2 linked regions of the Lonchura striata genome follow. The protein of the gene in region 1 interacts with the protein of each later gene in a biochemical or structural test. Links are inferred from orthologs where the notes say so. Each region holds a gene or a part of one and is shown on either strand. Other genes may lie near its edges.

Evidence for each region.
Region 2: the proteins of LRP2 (region 1) and CLU form a complex in vitro, tested with the Homo sapiens proteins (3 studies listed by BioGRID). The link is inferred for Lonchura striata from reciprocal best matches to the Homo sapiens genes LRP2 and CLU.

What each region holds. Positions count from the first base shown.
Region 1 is NC_134610.1:19,577,056-19,585,009, reverse strand, and holds the start of LRP2 (low-density lipoprotein receptor-related protein 2), read left to right. Parts: upstream 1-4,904; 5' UTR 4,905-5,077; coding exon 5,078-5,171; intron 5,172-7,954. UniProt on the Homo sapiens protein: Multiligand endocytic receptor. Acts together with CUBN to mediate endocytosis of high-density lipoproteins. Mediates receptor-mediated uptake of polybasic drugs such as aprotinin, aminoglycosides and polymyxin B.
Region 2 is NC_134605.1:112,889,558-112,896,809, reverse strand, and holds the start of CLU (clusterin), read left to right. Parts: upstream 1-4,241; 5' UTR 4,242-4,342; intron 4,343-7,252.

The DNA of each region.
Region 1 (7,954 bases):
TTTTGACTGACTGCTTTTGTGATCTCTCAAGCATTTCATCCTAGCTGTTGGAGGAATGAGACCTAACTGTTTTTAGTATGAGTCTCAATTACAAAGATGTTTATCCTGAACAGACCTCACACCTGTTATTAATAGGAAAGTAAAACAATTAAAAGAGTAAAGGAGATTCAGAGTTATTCCAGCCTATCCTCTTTTCCTTGTGAATTCCCTATAAAGATTTTAGATAAGTAATTTGTAAATGCTTCTTTACCTCCCATTCCTTTTCAAGTACAAATCCCATTTGTTGCTTCCTTGCAGGGCAGAATGGCACTGAAGGGCCAGTGAATTGGAGCAAAAATAAGGACCTTTGTTCTTTAGAAACAGAAAGTTCCAAAGAAATCTATTTGTAGTAAGGTAAGTACCATGATCTTTGGTAGTTAGAGATGTAGCTGAGGTAAAGCATACTTGCCCTTACTTTGTGACCGTGTCTCCAGGATGGGGAACAGGGACTTCCAGGGTGGACCAGACAGTTCTGACCAAAGGACAACTGTAATCTGTTTAATCTTTCTCCACTTTCTTCTGCCTTCCAGGTGAATAAAAAAACCTCTGTCATCTCTACATGGTTACTGTTAAACTCCAACACAGGCCTATTTCTGCAGATGAAATATACCTGGGGTGTTTCAGAAGCTCCTTTACTGACTGTGTTTCTACTAGTCTCACTTGTTCAGTGGCAGTTACCAAAAAAGTTCCCATGTTCTTGCTTCTTGTTCCAGGATGCAGTAATATAATGCCAGGTTGAAAGAGAGAAGTTATAATATGTCACTAACCAGAAGACCTCGAGGAAACTTTTGACCACAGTGCTAGCTGCATTGTGCAATTCTGACTCTGATTTCTGTTCTGGACCAATTCACCTCTCCTCAGCTTAATGTTTCTCACTTTCATGTGGTCTGGAGATGCACTTTTGATCTAGTCTTCTGGAAATCTGTGCTTTAGTTACCAATATGCATTAGATGTTTGGGTATTATATCAACTAAGGCTCTCTTTTTCTTAGTTTGAGATTAGGTGGATTTTTTTTTTTTTTTTTGTCTTTAAATCCTTGGAAGAAAATACTTTCCTGGCAAACAATTTCCATTGTTTTAGATACTGTGAAATGTGATGTGGCTTATATGAGAAACTTGGTGAACTTGGGGCCATTGTCTGTTTGGGTTTTTTTGTGTGTTGTAAAGTTGAAATTAATACTGGTTCTTTGCATAAGATGCATGTTCCCTAAAACATGATTTAAGGAAACATCTGCTCACAACACATGTATTTGAAAAAAATAAATGGTGAAGTGCAAATACACATTGCTACTGTGGATCCCCATGAAAACAGCTTAATCTGCTTTCCCTGAAGTCTGTCTTTGATGCAAACTGAAGAGGGCCTTAGGTGAATGAAATGTCTCAAAAATAGTATCTCTGAAGAGCCCATCCTGCCTTTAATAGTCTGTTAAGAAAGCAAGACTCTAACACACTCAAACACACACACATTGTTGCTTGCTATAAAACTAAGGTTCAGTTAAAGAAACTGGACACTTTAGATTGTAGAATAGCAAAGGTGGATGAAATTTGAAGAGTTAATTGCTGCTGTTTGGTACTTATGTTATTGCCCAGGCAGAGAGACTGTCTTTAGTTTAGATTTGTAGGATTTGTCATTACCAGTGTTCTCCCAAAAAAATGAGCATGGCTTTAGTATATTTAAAATGTAGCCTTGCTTTAGCATGATTGCGCAAAAATAACAAAACAAAACAAAAAAAAACCTTGTAATGATAAAGGCATAGGATTTAATGATTAAACTTTAAATGTGAATTGGAAACATAGCTTGTAACTTAAAATGTTTTCTGTGTGGAAGCACCTGGGTTTATCTGAGGACAGATTGACCACAAGATTACTGAATGCCAATGGCAATTACAGCCTTATTGGATAATGCACTGGACAGATCCTTAGCCTCTGTAAACTGCCCTAGCTCCAAGAAGTTCAGAAGAGACAAATTTACAGATCTGATCCACATTTTCCTATAGTGAAAGTATATATGTTTTTTACTTTCCTTAACCATCAGCTCTCTATCTTTATCTAGTCATATATCAACCCTGATGTTTCTGTCTGTGAAGAACTGCACGAGTTTGGACACTAATTTAGACTGAACTTTGGTCAAAAATGAAGCCTTTTAATTTTTAACTTCCTTGCTTAGCAGATATCTTTAATAAGTAAGCAGTGTCGTTGTTAGTTCTAAATTACACCTTTAACTGCTTTTCTGAGTGCTTGCTTACACTAAAAACCAGGCAAGCAAAAACATCCCAAACTGTATTTTAAATCAAAAGTAGAGCCCAATGAACAACTGCATTGCCTATGTTTTCTCCTTCTAACCTTCGAACAGACCTAGTCTCCATCTTCTTGAACATGCATAATCAACTGAAAATCCGTAGGTGTAGTTCAGTAACAAATCATGAGCTGCCAACAGGAACAGTCAACAGAAAGATGAGAAAAAGAGATGTGTTGCACCTACGTGGGCAATTTTGGGTGTAGTTATGGGAAAGCCTTGAGGAGTTTTTATTCTTGTCTTGATGTATCTAGTCTTGAAGAAGTTCCATTCAATGGTGTCCAGCAAGACAGGGTCCCTTTAGTTGGATGATGAGGTGCCATGGTAAAGTGAGAGGAGAAAATTTTAGTTTAAGTAAATAGAGGTTAGACTTCTCCTGTGCTGGTTCCATTGTTACTATTGTTCAGCAGTAAAATATCTGGGCCTATCAGTTTATATGTCTCTAAATGAAAACTTTGTCTTGTGAGTGCAAAGAATAATGGGTGAGAAGGGCATGACCCACCATCTCAGCTCACTGTCAACATCATCGCCACCATTCCTGTTGGAGACTCCTTCTAGGCTCTCACCTATGGGAAAAACAGATGTGTAGAAATGGTGATGGTGAATGGGGCAGGAACACACCTTCTGGCTGCCAGCTGTGAGGGAGTGAAACAGGTAGGTGCCTCCCAAAGCTTGCATCCAGGTCACTTCAAGCGTACAGTGACATTAGATTACACATACCTCCTGGCCTGGGGATGCAGCTCCCAAGCACTGTTTACCCTCTCTGCCTCTTGCTGGGATGTGAACTGCTTTAAACAATTCCTCTTCTAATGAAGTACGGTCAGTCTGTGTTGGCTTTGCAGGCACCCATCTGTAGAGAACAGATCTGCTTGCTCCTCTCTCTGAGGATCCCTTCGTTCCCGCCCCATCGGCCTTGCTGGGAGATTAAAGTAGCAGCGGCCCCATACACAAACGCAGCTGGTTCCGTTTGGTCAGCCTGAGCCTTGCTGTGAAACCACGACAAGAATTCCAGTAAGTTGGCAACACTGAAACACAAAGAAAACAACAATAGGAAAAGACCTTCCGTGCAGAAAGGAATGTTTCAGGCGCTATTCCCCTACAGAGAAAGGAGAGAGGGTGGGAGGGAGGAGGGAGATTTGAAGAGGGCATGTCTCCCCCTCCCCCGGCAGCTCTGGATCTTGTGATGGAGAGATCTTATCCTCTCTTTGTGATTCAGAGGTGCCAGGAAGCTAATTGAATATTCTGATCTGCCCCCAGTGTTTCTTGTGGCTTGACCCCGGTGCTGTGTCGTACCACCACACCAAACAGCCCTGAACCTGCATAAATCACAACCTTGCAAAAGCCTATGCTCCACATCTTCTCTCCCCACCCCCCTCTTTACTATCTTGATAGATAGAAAGCCTTTACGGAAAGGTTTAGAGGGATTAGCGTCCTACAGGACCTGGAGAGAAATCACAGTCTGCTAATAAGCAGCGACATGTTCCTGTGCAACTTCTGCAGGAACAATACAGGCACCTCTACCTTTTTATTGAACTTGCAATCCATGGCAAAAAGAAGAATTAAGGTTTGAAATATTGCTTAAGTTCTTTTGCAGCATCAGCAAACAGCCCTTGCAGTATAATGAGCATGGCATGATGCTAATGCAAAAGATATGTGGTATCTGTAAAGGTGGTGTCATTAAAATTAATCTGACAGAACCTCTTGGAAGACAAATAGAGCTATCCTTCTCTCATGATATGTATGCACAGTAGTCACTGTTGACGTGCATGTGCATATGTGTACATATATGAAGAAAGTATAGCTTGGCATAACTAAATTTCCAACATGAAAGACTGTTTTTGACTACTAAAAAATTATTTAACTCCACGCATTTTATATATGATGCTTCTGATCCTGCAAGCAAAGCCTCTAAAAAGTTTGTTCTTTTTACCAAGGCTGCATTCCAGCCTGAAGTTAATCTTTATCTTCTCCCTGTGATCCTACACACTACTCTTCCCTTGTTAGTGTATATGGTTCCTGAAATGGCAGCAGTAAAACACAGGGAGATATTTCTTTGTGTATTGCACACACTGTTGGAGAGTTAAAACTAAAGGAGCATATCTCTAGTTGGTATCTTGAGAATTCACAGCTAAAGCACTTTACCAAACTGATTTTATCTGCTAAGAAAGTGCAAAAGTAAATTTCATCCCCACAGTTTTCCTTTCATAGTGTTTGTTGTGAGCACTACTAATTTCTAAGCTTTTCCTCTGTCTGCATCAGTGAGTAGATGCTAGATTTTTTTTCAGAGTTATCAAAAATACTTTTTCTTATTTGGGACACTAAAACCTATGACATTCATTACTTGCCACCCGCAGTTCCCAGAACTACTCAAAATAGATGAGCACATTAAATACAGCACCAATGGACTCTGATACGAAGTGAGCAAAGTGCAGGGTCTTGGAAGCATCTTGGCTATCCTGCAAAGTGTGGAAGGAGGGGCAGAGGGAGCCTGTGGCCGCAGGGCCTGGAGCACTGCCTGATTCCCTCATGCTGGTTCCGGGGCCGCCGGGTATAAAGAGCTTTATGCAATGTCTGGAGGGTGGGAGTTTATAGAAAACGCGATGTCTCAACAGGCGAACACGCCTTTCTTCTGCAACTAGCAGGACAAGAAAAAGATACCAGGCTCCTTGTGCTGGTGCTGTGCAGATCAGCACCCCGGAGTCCAGAAGCCAGCTTCTGAGAAAGCTGGAGCATCCCAACCCAGATGGGACCTCACCATCGGATGGATGGAAGAGCAACAACTGCTTGCAAACTGCTCATATTATTCACTGCATGCCTGATGCAGGGCAGTTGCCAAGGTAAGTGCTATGCTCCAGCCTCTCCGGAATAGAAATTGCACCGTAAGGAGCATATCCCTACTCTGGGGACTTTTATAAGAGAAAGATAAGGTGACTGAAAGTAGAGGGTTAACAGGCACTGATTCAAGGAGTTCTTTCTAATAGTTAGGGGAGACAGTTGGCTCTTTCCAGGAGTCATTTGATGGAGTCGGTTTCTGTTGTGGAAAAGTAAGTAGCGCCTTAAAAGCACTGCAAACATCACCGATTCTTCAGCTTAACTTCATCTTGATTTCAGATTATCGTAGGATGCTTCCTTTGATTGTTTTTCTAGTTTGTAGAAACTTTTTTTTTCCCTAGTTGTGTGTGTAAGCAACAGACAAATGTGGCTAATTTTTGATGGACATCTCAGACTTTGCAATTCCACGGTCTAAACGCATGGTTTTATGGAAATGCCAACAGGCAGGTTTTTCTGCGAGTCCTGATTACTGGCTGTGAATAAGGCCAAAAAAACCCCAAAAACAAGCAAACAAAAACACCCCAAAAACCAAACCACCCCCACAAAAAACCAAACAAATAAAAAACAAAAAAAAAAACACCAAAAAACCCCAAAAACAAAACAAAAAAACCCCAACCACCCCAGACTTTTTGCGTTTTTTCCTTGTGGTATTTGTGCCTTTCTTGCTACTGAAATACGGGTGATTTTACAGAGCAGAGTTCACCTGCATTCCACGAGCTGGTTTGGTAACCACTAAAATTGTACCTAGAGTTGTTTTTGTTGAGGAGTGCACAGCACTTGCACGTAGACAGGTTGGGTCGGGGGGCAGGGGGTTATGCATGGACATGCTTGCGTACGTGTGGTATATGCAGTCATTTACAGAAAGCTATAAGAAAGAAACAGATGCTTAGTCTGGAGCACAATAAGCTCCCCTCAGTCGGTCTCAGACGCAGATTTGAAGTTGAGAGAGGGAGAACTTTTTCTCTGGGCTTTACTGTTGCTAGGCGACATGGAGGAGCATGTGACTGGCAGAGCAGGCTGAGTGCCGCTCCTCCAGTGCTAATCTGGCTGCTGGGGATGGAGCAGCCGTGTGCCCAAGTCCTCCCTCCGGCCTCTGCAGCCGATATCCCTGCCTCCCCTTCTTCAGCTGTTTATTTGCCTTGCACTGAAAATCAAGCCTGTCGTGTTGGAGCACGAGTGGCTAAAGTGCATTTTTCCTCCGCCCCGCCTATTGACCTGCAGTTCTGCTGCTTCTGTGTGTGTCTGCATATTACGTGTGTGTTCAAATGGTTAATCTGCTTTCTTTGCTCAACTCTTAGTTTAAGCTCCTTAGACAGAATCAACTAAGTAATTATACAGCAACTGCTGTTAGCAGCTCCCACTTATGAACAAGGAAATAAGAGATAGCTAATGTGCTGGAGACCTGCAAAAACTCCAGCCAAGGAGGTCACACTGGGCAGAATTAATCCTATGCACTATTATTTTACATTGGGTAGAATGGAACTTGCAGTACAGATAAAATTTTTTTGTTGTTGTTCTGTAACTGCTTCTGATTGTCCAGAACATATCTGATAAAAGACATGACAGAACAAGCAGAGATAGGCTTTGAACTAGCATCCATAGTAGTATCCATACAGATTTTTTTTTTTTTTACTTTTATGATGTTCCTTCTGCTCTTTCTCCCAATCTCCCCTCCCCCCTGCCTCCACAGTAGAATAACTGTGGAAATCAAACACTATAATTTTAGTAATGGGTGACTGATACTAGGAAAATACCTGGATAGCAGGTATTTTGCCTGCACTTTGATTATGGCAGTGGAATATTTGTTAACCATAAATTACAGTTCCTTGAATGCTAAGATCATGTCAGACTCTTATTTCAAAAAGAAAATTTGAAGAACCATGAAAGCAATCCCAAGCCTTTGAAGGAAAATGGTGAAAATCTCTTATTTTGCCTTATCCTCAGTATTTCCAAAGGCACTTCACTGATGTTTTTTGAGATTTTTTTTTTTGGCAATTTTTGAGTGTTCCCAATATAAGATGGATGTTTCTAGAAGAATTTCACCTACACAATTCACCTTGTTCAATTGGTAGTACTCTTTTGCGATTTACCTAATTCTGGTTCTACTGAGAGTAACTGTAGTGCTCATAAACAGAATAAAAAAGTTTTGTAATTGCCAGCAGTACAGGGTCTGTTTCTCCTGCCTTTATAGGTCTTGTTGTCTGTGGGGTAATTGTTGTCAGAAAAAAGTGTAGCTGGAACCTAAAAAGTAGTTAAGTGAAGGCAGTGTCAAGCAGGAGCATTGTGGGACTATTGCTTATGTTTGTTTTGGGGAATATCAAAGTGCTTCACACTCAGCCATAAACTACAGACAATGGATGGATGTTAGTGCACCAAATTTGATTTGTATCCTGCACCTCTGCAATGATAAATTATCAGCTTGATACGTCCCAGGCAAATATGGCTAAAATTTTTTTACCATTATGAGGTCTCTATTAATCTGAGAATGAAGACTATTCTAAGAATGAATGCATATGGTGTGATAAGATATATAATCACAATGAACATTTGCATGAAGTGTGGCAGGCCATTAAGAAATAGGTATGGTAAGACCAAGTAGAGAAGAGTTACAGCAGTTCTTTCTGGAAGTCATGGAGAAACATGTTTTCCATAAGGCATTGTAATAGTTCAATCTCCAAATCAATAATTCAGTGTTTTTTAGATATTGTTTTCATTCAAAATTATTTAATTTTTCTGTAGGATGATGTACAGTGACATTGCTATGGGCGACAGGTCAGAGTCACTATTC
Region 2 (7,252 bases), on another chromosome or scaffold:
CCAGCCGGGAAAGGCTCCGCTCCCGGGAAACTGGGAATTGCAGCCGGGGAATGCTCCGGTACTGGGAATTCCGGCCCGGGAATTCGGGAATGTTCCAGTCCCGGGAAACCCGGGATGGGCGGGAATTCCACCCAGCGGGCCCGGGAAGCGCCGGGGGCACCGGGAGGGAGCCCGGCGGGATTCGGGACATTCCCAAATCCCAAAATCCCAAAATCCCGCCCCGAGGGGCCGGCGGCCTCTGTGCCGGGATCCGCGGGGCGATCCCGGTGCCGCCCCGGGGCTCGGAGCGGGATTTGGGATCGGGATTCCCAAAATTCCAGCCCACATCCAGGGCAGGGTCACATCTCTGATATCCCAAACCTCGGAGCGGGATTTGGGATTGGGATTCCCAAAATTCCAGCCTCGCCCAGGGCATCCGGTGTCCCGGTCTCTGTCTCCCGGTGTCCCGGTCTCTCCCGGTGTTCCGGCCTCTCAGTCCCAAAGTGTCCCGGGAATTCCGGCAGTCCCGGGATGTCCCCGCGGTGTCCCGGTCCCGGGGAATGTCCCCAGTCACTTTTCCCGTCACTGCTCCGGTGATTCCCGGTCCCGGTCCCTGTCCCGGTGCTGCTCCGGTGATTCCCGGTCCCGGGGGATGTCCCCGGTGATTCCCGGTCTCTGTCCCGCTCCCCGGTGATTCCCGGTTTCTGTCCCGGTGCCGCTCCGGTGATTCCCGGTCTCTGTCCCGGTGCCGCTCCGGTGATTCCCGGTCTCTGTCCCGCTCCCCGGTGATTCCCGGTCTCTGTCCCGCTCCCCGGTGATTCCCGGTTTCTGTCCCGCTCCCCGGTGATTCCCGGTCTCTGTCCCGCTCCCCGGTGATTCCCGGTTTCTGTCCCGCTCCCCGGTGATTCCCGGTCTCTGTCCCGCTCCCCGGTGATTCCCGGTTTCTGTCCCGCTCCCCGGTGATTCCCGGTCTCTGTCCCGCTCCCCGGTGATTCCCGGTTTCTGTCCCGGTGCCGCTCCGGTGATTCCCGGTCTCTGTCCCGGTGCCGCTCCGGTGATTCCCGGTCTCTGTCCCGCTCCCCGGTGCCACTCCGGTGATTCCCGGTCCCTGTCCCGGTGCCGCTCCGGTGATTCCCGGTCTCTGTCCCGCTCCCCGGTGCCACTCCGGTGATTCCCGGTCCCTGTCCCGGTGCCGCTCCGGTGATTCCCGGTCTCTGTCCCGCTCCCCGGTGCCGCTCCGGTGATTCCCGGTCTCTGTCCCGCTCCCCGGTGCCGCTCCGGTGATTCCCGGTCTCTGTCCCGGTGCCACTCCGGTGATTCCCGGTCCCTGTCCCGGTGCCGCTCCGGTGATTCCCGGTCTCTGTCCCGCTCCCCGGTGCCGCTCCGGTGATTCCCGGTCTCTGTCCCGCTCCCCGGTGCCGCTCCGGTGATTCCCGGTCTCTGTCCCGCTCCCCGGTGCCGCTCCGGTGATTCCCGGTCTCTGTCCCGGTGCCACTCCGGTGATTCCCGGTCCCTGTCCCGGTGCCGCTCCGGTGATTCCCGGTCTCTGTCCCGCTCCCCGGTGCCGCTCCGGTGATTCCCGGTCTCTGTCCCGCTCCCCGGTGCCGCTCCGGTGATTCCCGGTCTCTGTCCCGCTCCCCGGTGCCGCTCCGGTGATTCCCGGTCTCTGTCCCGCTCCCCGGTGCCGCTCCGGTGATTCCCGGTCTCTGTCCCGGTGCCACTCCGGTGATTCCCGGTCCCTGTCCCGGTGCCGCTCCGGTGATTCCCGGTCTCTGTCCCGGTGCCGCTCCGGTGATTCCCGGTCTCTGTCCCGGTGCCGCCGGAGCGGAGCCGGTTAAGCCCGCCCGGCTGTGTCCCCACGTGTCGCGACACGTGCCCGCGTGGCCCGGGACATCCCGGGACATCCCGGGACATCCCCCCGCGGAGCGCGACCCGGCGGCAACCGGCCCGGCCTGGTCCCGGTCCCCGTTCCGTTCCCGATTCCCGTTTCCGTTCCCGTTCCTGTTCCCGGTCCTGTCCCCGTTCCCGGTCCCAATCCCGGTCCGTGTCCCGTTCCCGTCCCCGGTCCCAGTCCTGGTCCGTGTCCCGTCCCCGGTCCTGGTGCCGTCCCCGGTCCCGGTGCCGTTCCCGTTACCGATCCCGGTCCGTGTCCCGTTCCCGATTCCCGTCCCCGGTCCCGGTCCCGTTCCCGTCCCCGGTCCCGGTGCCGTTCCCGGTCCCGTTACCGATCCCGGTCCGTGCCCTCGTCCCCGTCCCCATCCCCGGTCCCGGTCCCGTTACCGATCCTGGTCCGTGTCCCGTTCCCGATTCCCGTCCCAGGTCCCGTCCCGTTCCCGATTCCCGTTCCTGTCCCCGGGCCCGATCCCGGTCCCGGTCCCGGTCCCCATCCCCGGTCCCGGTGCCGTTCCCGGTTCCGTTCCCGATCCCGGTCCCGTCCCCGGGCCCGTTCCCGATCCCGGTGCCGTTCCCGGTCCCGTTACCGATCCCGGTCCGTGTCCCGCTCCCGATTCCCGTCCCAGGTCCCGTCCCTGTTCCCGATTCCCGTTCCCGTCCCCGGGCCCGTTCCCGGTCCCGGTGCCGTTCCCGATGCCGTTACCGGTCCGTGTCCCGTTCCCGTTCCCAATTCCCGTCCCCGGTCCCGGTCCCCGCGTGTCGGGGGCGGTCCCGGTGCCGCCCCGCCCCCCGAGCGCTGTCCCGGTTCCCGCCATTCTTCTCCGGGAGTGACGGGCGGGGAGGCCGTGCCTCAGTTTCCCTTGGAATGTGCATGGGGGGGCCGTGCCTCAGTTTCCCCCGGAATGTGCATGGGGGGGGCCGTGCCTCAGTTTCCCTTGGAATGTGCATGGGGGGGGGGCGTGCCTCAGTTTCCCTTGGAATGTGCATGGGGGGGAGGCGTGCCTCAGTTTCCCCGGGAATGTGCATGGGGGGGGCCGTGCCTCAGTTTCCCCTGGAATGTGCATGGGGGGGCCGTGCCTCAGTTTCCCCTGGAATGTGCATGGGGGGGGGGCCGTGCCTCAGTTTCCCCTGGAATGTGCATGGGGGGGGGGCCGTGCCTCAGTTTCCCTTGGAATGTGCATGGGGGGGGGGCCGTGCCTCAGTTTCCCCGGGAATGTGCATGGGGGGGCCGTGCCTCAGTTTCCCTTGGAATGTGCAGGGGGGGGGGCCGTGCCTCAGTTTCCCTTGGAATGTGCATGGGGGGGCCGTGCCTCAGTTTCCCCGGGAATGTGCATGGGGGGGGGGCCGTGCCTCAGTTTCCCCGGGAATGTGCATGGGGGGGGCCGTGCCTCAGTTTCCCTTGGAATGTGCATGGGGGGCCGTGCCTCAGTTTCCCCGGGAATTTGGGGATCCCGGGCCGTGCCTCAGTTTCCCCGTCCAGGTAGGCCATTAATTAATGGATTAATTAGTTAATTAGCGAAACCCCCCACCCTGGGGCCGAGTCGGGAATCAATAAATTAATAAATTAACTAATATTTGCGAACCCCCCTGGGGGCCGGGTTCGGAATTAATTAATAAATTAATAAATATGCGCGAACACCCCCGGGGCCGAGTTGGGAAATAATTAATTAATTTATCCATTAATTTGCGAACGCTCGCGCCCCCCCCCCCCGGGAATTAATTAATTAATTCACTAATTTATATTTGCGAACCGCCCCCGGGGCAATTCCGTTAATTAATTAATAAATTAATTTATATGCGATCCCCTCCCCCTCTTGCCACGGGCCGTGCCGGGAGTTCCCGGGGCAGTTCCGGTAATTAATTAATTAATTGATTAATTAATTGATTAATTAATATGCGAACCCCTCCCCCCATGGCCGTGCCGGGAGTTCCCGGGGCAGTTCCGGTAATTAATTAATTAATTATTAATTAATTGATTAATTAATATGCGAACCCCTCCCCCCGTGGCCGTGTCGGGAGTTCCCGGGGCAGTTCCGGGATTGAGCAATCAATGAGTTCATTAATTCATGCGTTAATTAATTAGCGGGGGCGGGGCCGTGACTGGAAAGGGGCGGGGACTTGCAGGAAAGGGGGCGTGGCCTATGTGTGGGCGTGGTCGGGGCGGGAAAGGGGGCGTGGCCTGCTCAGGGGGCGGGGCCTGGCAGGGATCGGACCTACCGGGGAATGGGCGTGGTTTGGTCGGGGGCGTGGCCGTGGCGGGAAAGGGGGCGTGGCCTGCTCAGGGGGCGGGGCCTGGCAGGGATCGGACCTACCGGGGAATGGGCGTGGTTTGGTCGGGGGCGTGGTCATGCCGGGAAGGGGCGTGGCCTGGTCTGGGGGCGGGGCCGGGGCCGTTCGAGAAAGCTCCGGGACCGGGACCGGGAACGGGAACCGGACCGGGAGCGGGACCGGGAACGGGACCGGGAGCGAGGTAACGGAGCGGGGACCCCGGACCCCCGAACCCCGAATTCCCGCTCCCTGAATCCCAAATCGCGAATTCCCAAATTCCCGAACCCCAAATCCCCGAATTGCCGAATCCCCGAACCCCGAATTCCGGTCCCTGAATCCCAAATCCCCGAATTCCCGGTCCCCCGAACCCCGAATTCCGGTCCCTGAATCCCAAATCCCGAATTCCCGGTCCCTGAATCCCCGAACCCCGAATTCGCGGTCCCTGAATCCCAAATCGCGAATTCCCAAATTCCCGAACCCCAAATCCCCGAATTGCCGAATCCCCGAACCCCGAATTCCGGTCCCTGAATCCCAAATCCCCGAATTCCCGGTCCCTGAATCCCAAATCCCCGAATTCCCGGTCCCCCGAACCCCGAATTCGCGGTCCCTGAATCCCAAATCGCGAATTCCCAAATTCCCGAACCCCAAATCCCCGAATTCCCGAATCCCCGAACCCCGAATTCCGGTCCCTGAATCTCTGATCCCCGAATTCCCGAACCCCCAAATCCCCGAATTCCCGAACCCTCGAACCCCGAATTCCCGAGCTCCAAACCTCCGAACCCCAAATCCCCAAATCCTAAAATCCCCGAATTCCCGAACCCCGAATTCCCGGTCCCTGAATCTCTGATCCCCGAATTCCCGAACCCCAAAATCCCCGAATTCCCGATCCCCGAATCCTCTGACCCCCAAAATCCCCGAACCCCAAACCCCCGAATCCTGAAACTTAAATTCCCAAATCCCTAAATACCCCAACCCCAAATCCCGGAATCCCGAATTCCCGAACCCCCAAATCCCAAATTCCCCATCCCAGAATCCCAAATCCCCAAAACCTGAATCGCCGGACTTCATATTCCCAAATCCCAAAACCCCAAATTCTCGACTCCCCAAATCCCTGCATCCCAAATCCCTGAACCCCCAAATCTGCAAATCCCAAATCCCCCTTTTTTCTCTTTTTCCCATTTTTTCCCCTTTTCCCCCTTTTTTTCCATTTCCCCCCTTTCCCATCCCCCCCTCAGTTTTGGGGTCCCCGGGCGTTTTTGGGGATTTTTTTGGGTTTTTTGGGGGTTTTTTGGGGGGTTTTTGGGGTGGGGGAGGGGCTGGAGCGGGCGATGCCCGGCGGGAATTTCCCACAATTCCCCGCGCGGGGCAGGAGCGGGGCCGGGATTTGGGATTTTGGGGATTTTGGGGATTTTGGGGATTTTTGGGGGCATTTAGGATTGGGGGGGGGGCGTTATTTAGGGTTTGGGGGAAATTCTTTGAGGTTTGGGATTATTTGGGATTTTGGGGTTCTTTGGGATTTGGGATTATTTGGGATTTTGGGATTATTTGGGATTTTGGGGAAGTTATTTGGGATTTGGGATGGTTTATTTAGGATTTGGGGGAAATTATTTGGGATTTGGGATACGGGAAGTTGTTTGGGATGGGTTCTTTGGGATTTGGGGTGATTTGGGATTTTGGGGGGTTCTTTGGGAGTTCTTTGGGATGCGGGATGGGGTTTTTTAGGATTTGGGGTTTTTTATTTGGGGGCGTTGTTTGGGGTTTGGGAGGTGGTTTTGGTTTATTTGGGTTTTATTTGGATTTTATTTGGACTTTATTGGGATTTTATTTGGGTTTTATTTGGGCTTTATTTGGGTTTTATTTGGGTTTTATTTGGGTTTATTTCAGTTCCTTTCCAAAGTTTAGCTTTTGTTCGAGTTTTATTTGGGTTTATTTGGGTTTTATTTGTGCTTATTTTGTTTTATTTGGGTTTATTTCACTGTATTTCCGTTGTTTTGGGTTTATTTGGGTTTATTTGGGTTTTATTTTGTTTTATTTGGGTTTATTTCAGTTCCTTTCCGTTGTTTGGGTTTATTTTGTTTTATTTGGGTTTATTTTGTTTAATTTGGGTTTATTTCAGTTCCTTTCCGTTGTTTGGGTCGGTTTCGGGTTTTTTTGGGATTTCACAATCCCGGAGCGGGCGGGGGAGGGGGGGGCGGGGCCGCTCCTTCTTTGGGTTTTTTGGGGTTTTTTTGGGGGGTGGGAGCTGCTCCTTTTTTGGGTTTTTTTTTTTTTGTTTTTTTTGGGTTTTTGGTTTTTTTTTTTTTTTTTTTTTGGGGGGGTTTTTTTGGGGGGGGGCGCTCCTTTTTTGGGTTTTTCTTTTGTTTTTTTCGGGGGGGGGCCGCCTCTTTTTTGGGGTTTTTTTGGGGGAGCCGCTCCCTTTTTTGCATTTTTTGGGGGTTTGGGGGGGTTTTTTTGGGCGGGGCTGCTCCTTTTTTGGGGTTTCTTTTTTCTTTTTCTTTGGGGGTTGCGCTCATTTTTTGGGGGGACACTCCTTTTTTTGGGTTTTTTTTTGGGGGGAGGGGGCGCTCCGCTCCTTTTTTTGGGTTTTTTTTGGTTTTTTGGGGGGGGGGGCGCTTCTTCTTTTGGGGATTTTTGGGGGGTTTTTGGGGGGGCCGCTCCTTTTTTGGGGGGGCATGGCCAGACCCCCCCGTCCCCATCCCCCCGACCCTGACCCTGTCCCCAGGCTGTGTCCCCAAATGTCCCCCAATGTCCCCAATTTCCCCAAATGTCCCCAATGTCCCCAATGTCCCCCCAAATGTCCCCGATGTCCCAAATGTCCCCAAATGTCCACAATGTCCCCAATGTCCCCAGTGTCCCCAGTGTCCCCCAATGTCCCCAATGTCCCCCAATGTCCCCCAATGTCCCCCAATGTCCCCCAATGTCCCCCCAGTGTCCCCAATGTCCCCAATGTCCCCAATGTCCCCAATCCTCCAATCCCCCAGTGTCCCCAATGTCCCCAATGTCCCCAATGTCCCCAATCCTCCAATCCCCCAGTGTCCCCAATGTCCCCAGTGTCCCCAATGTCCCCAATGTCCCCAGTGTCCCCAATGTCCCCAATGTCCCCCAATGTCCC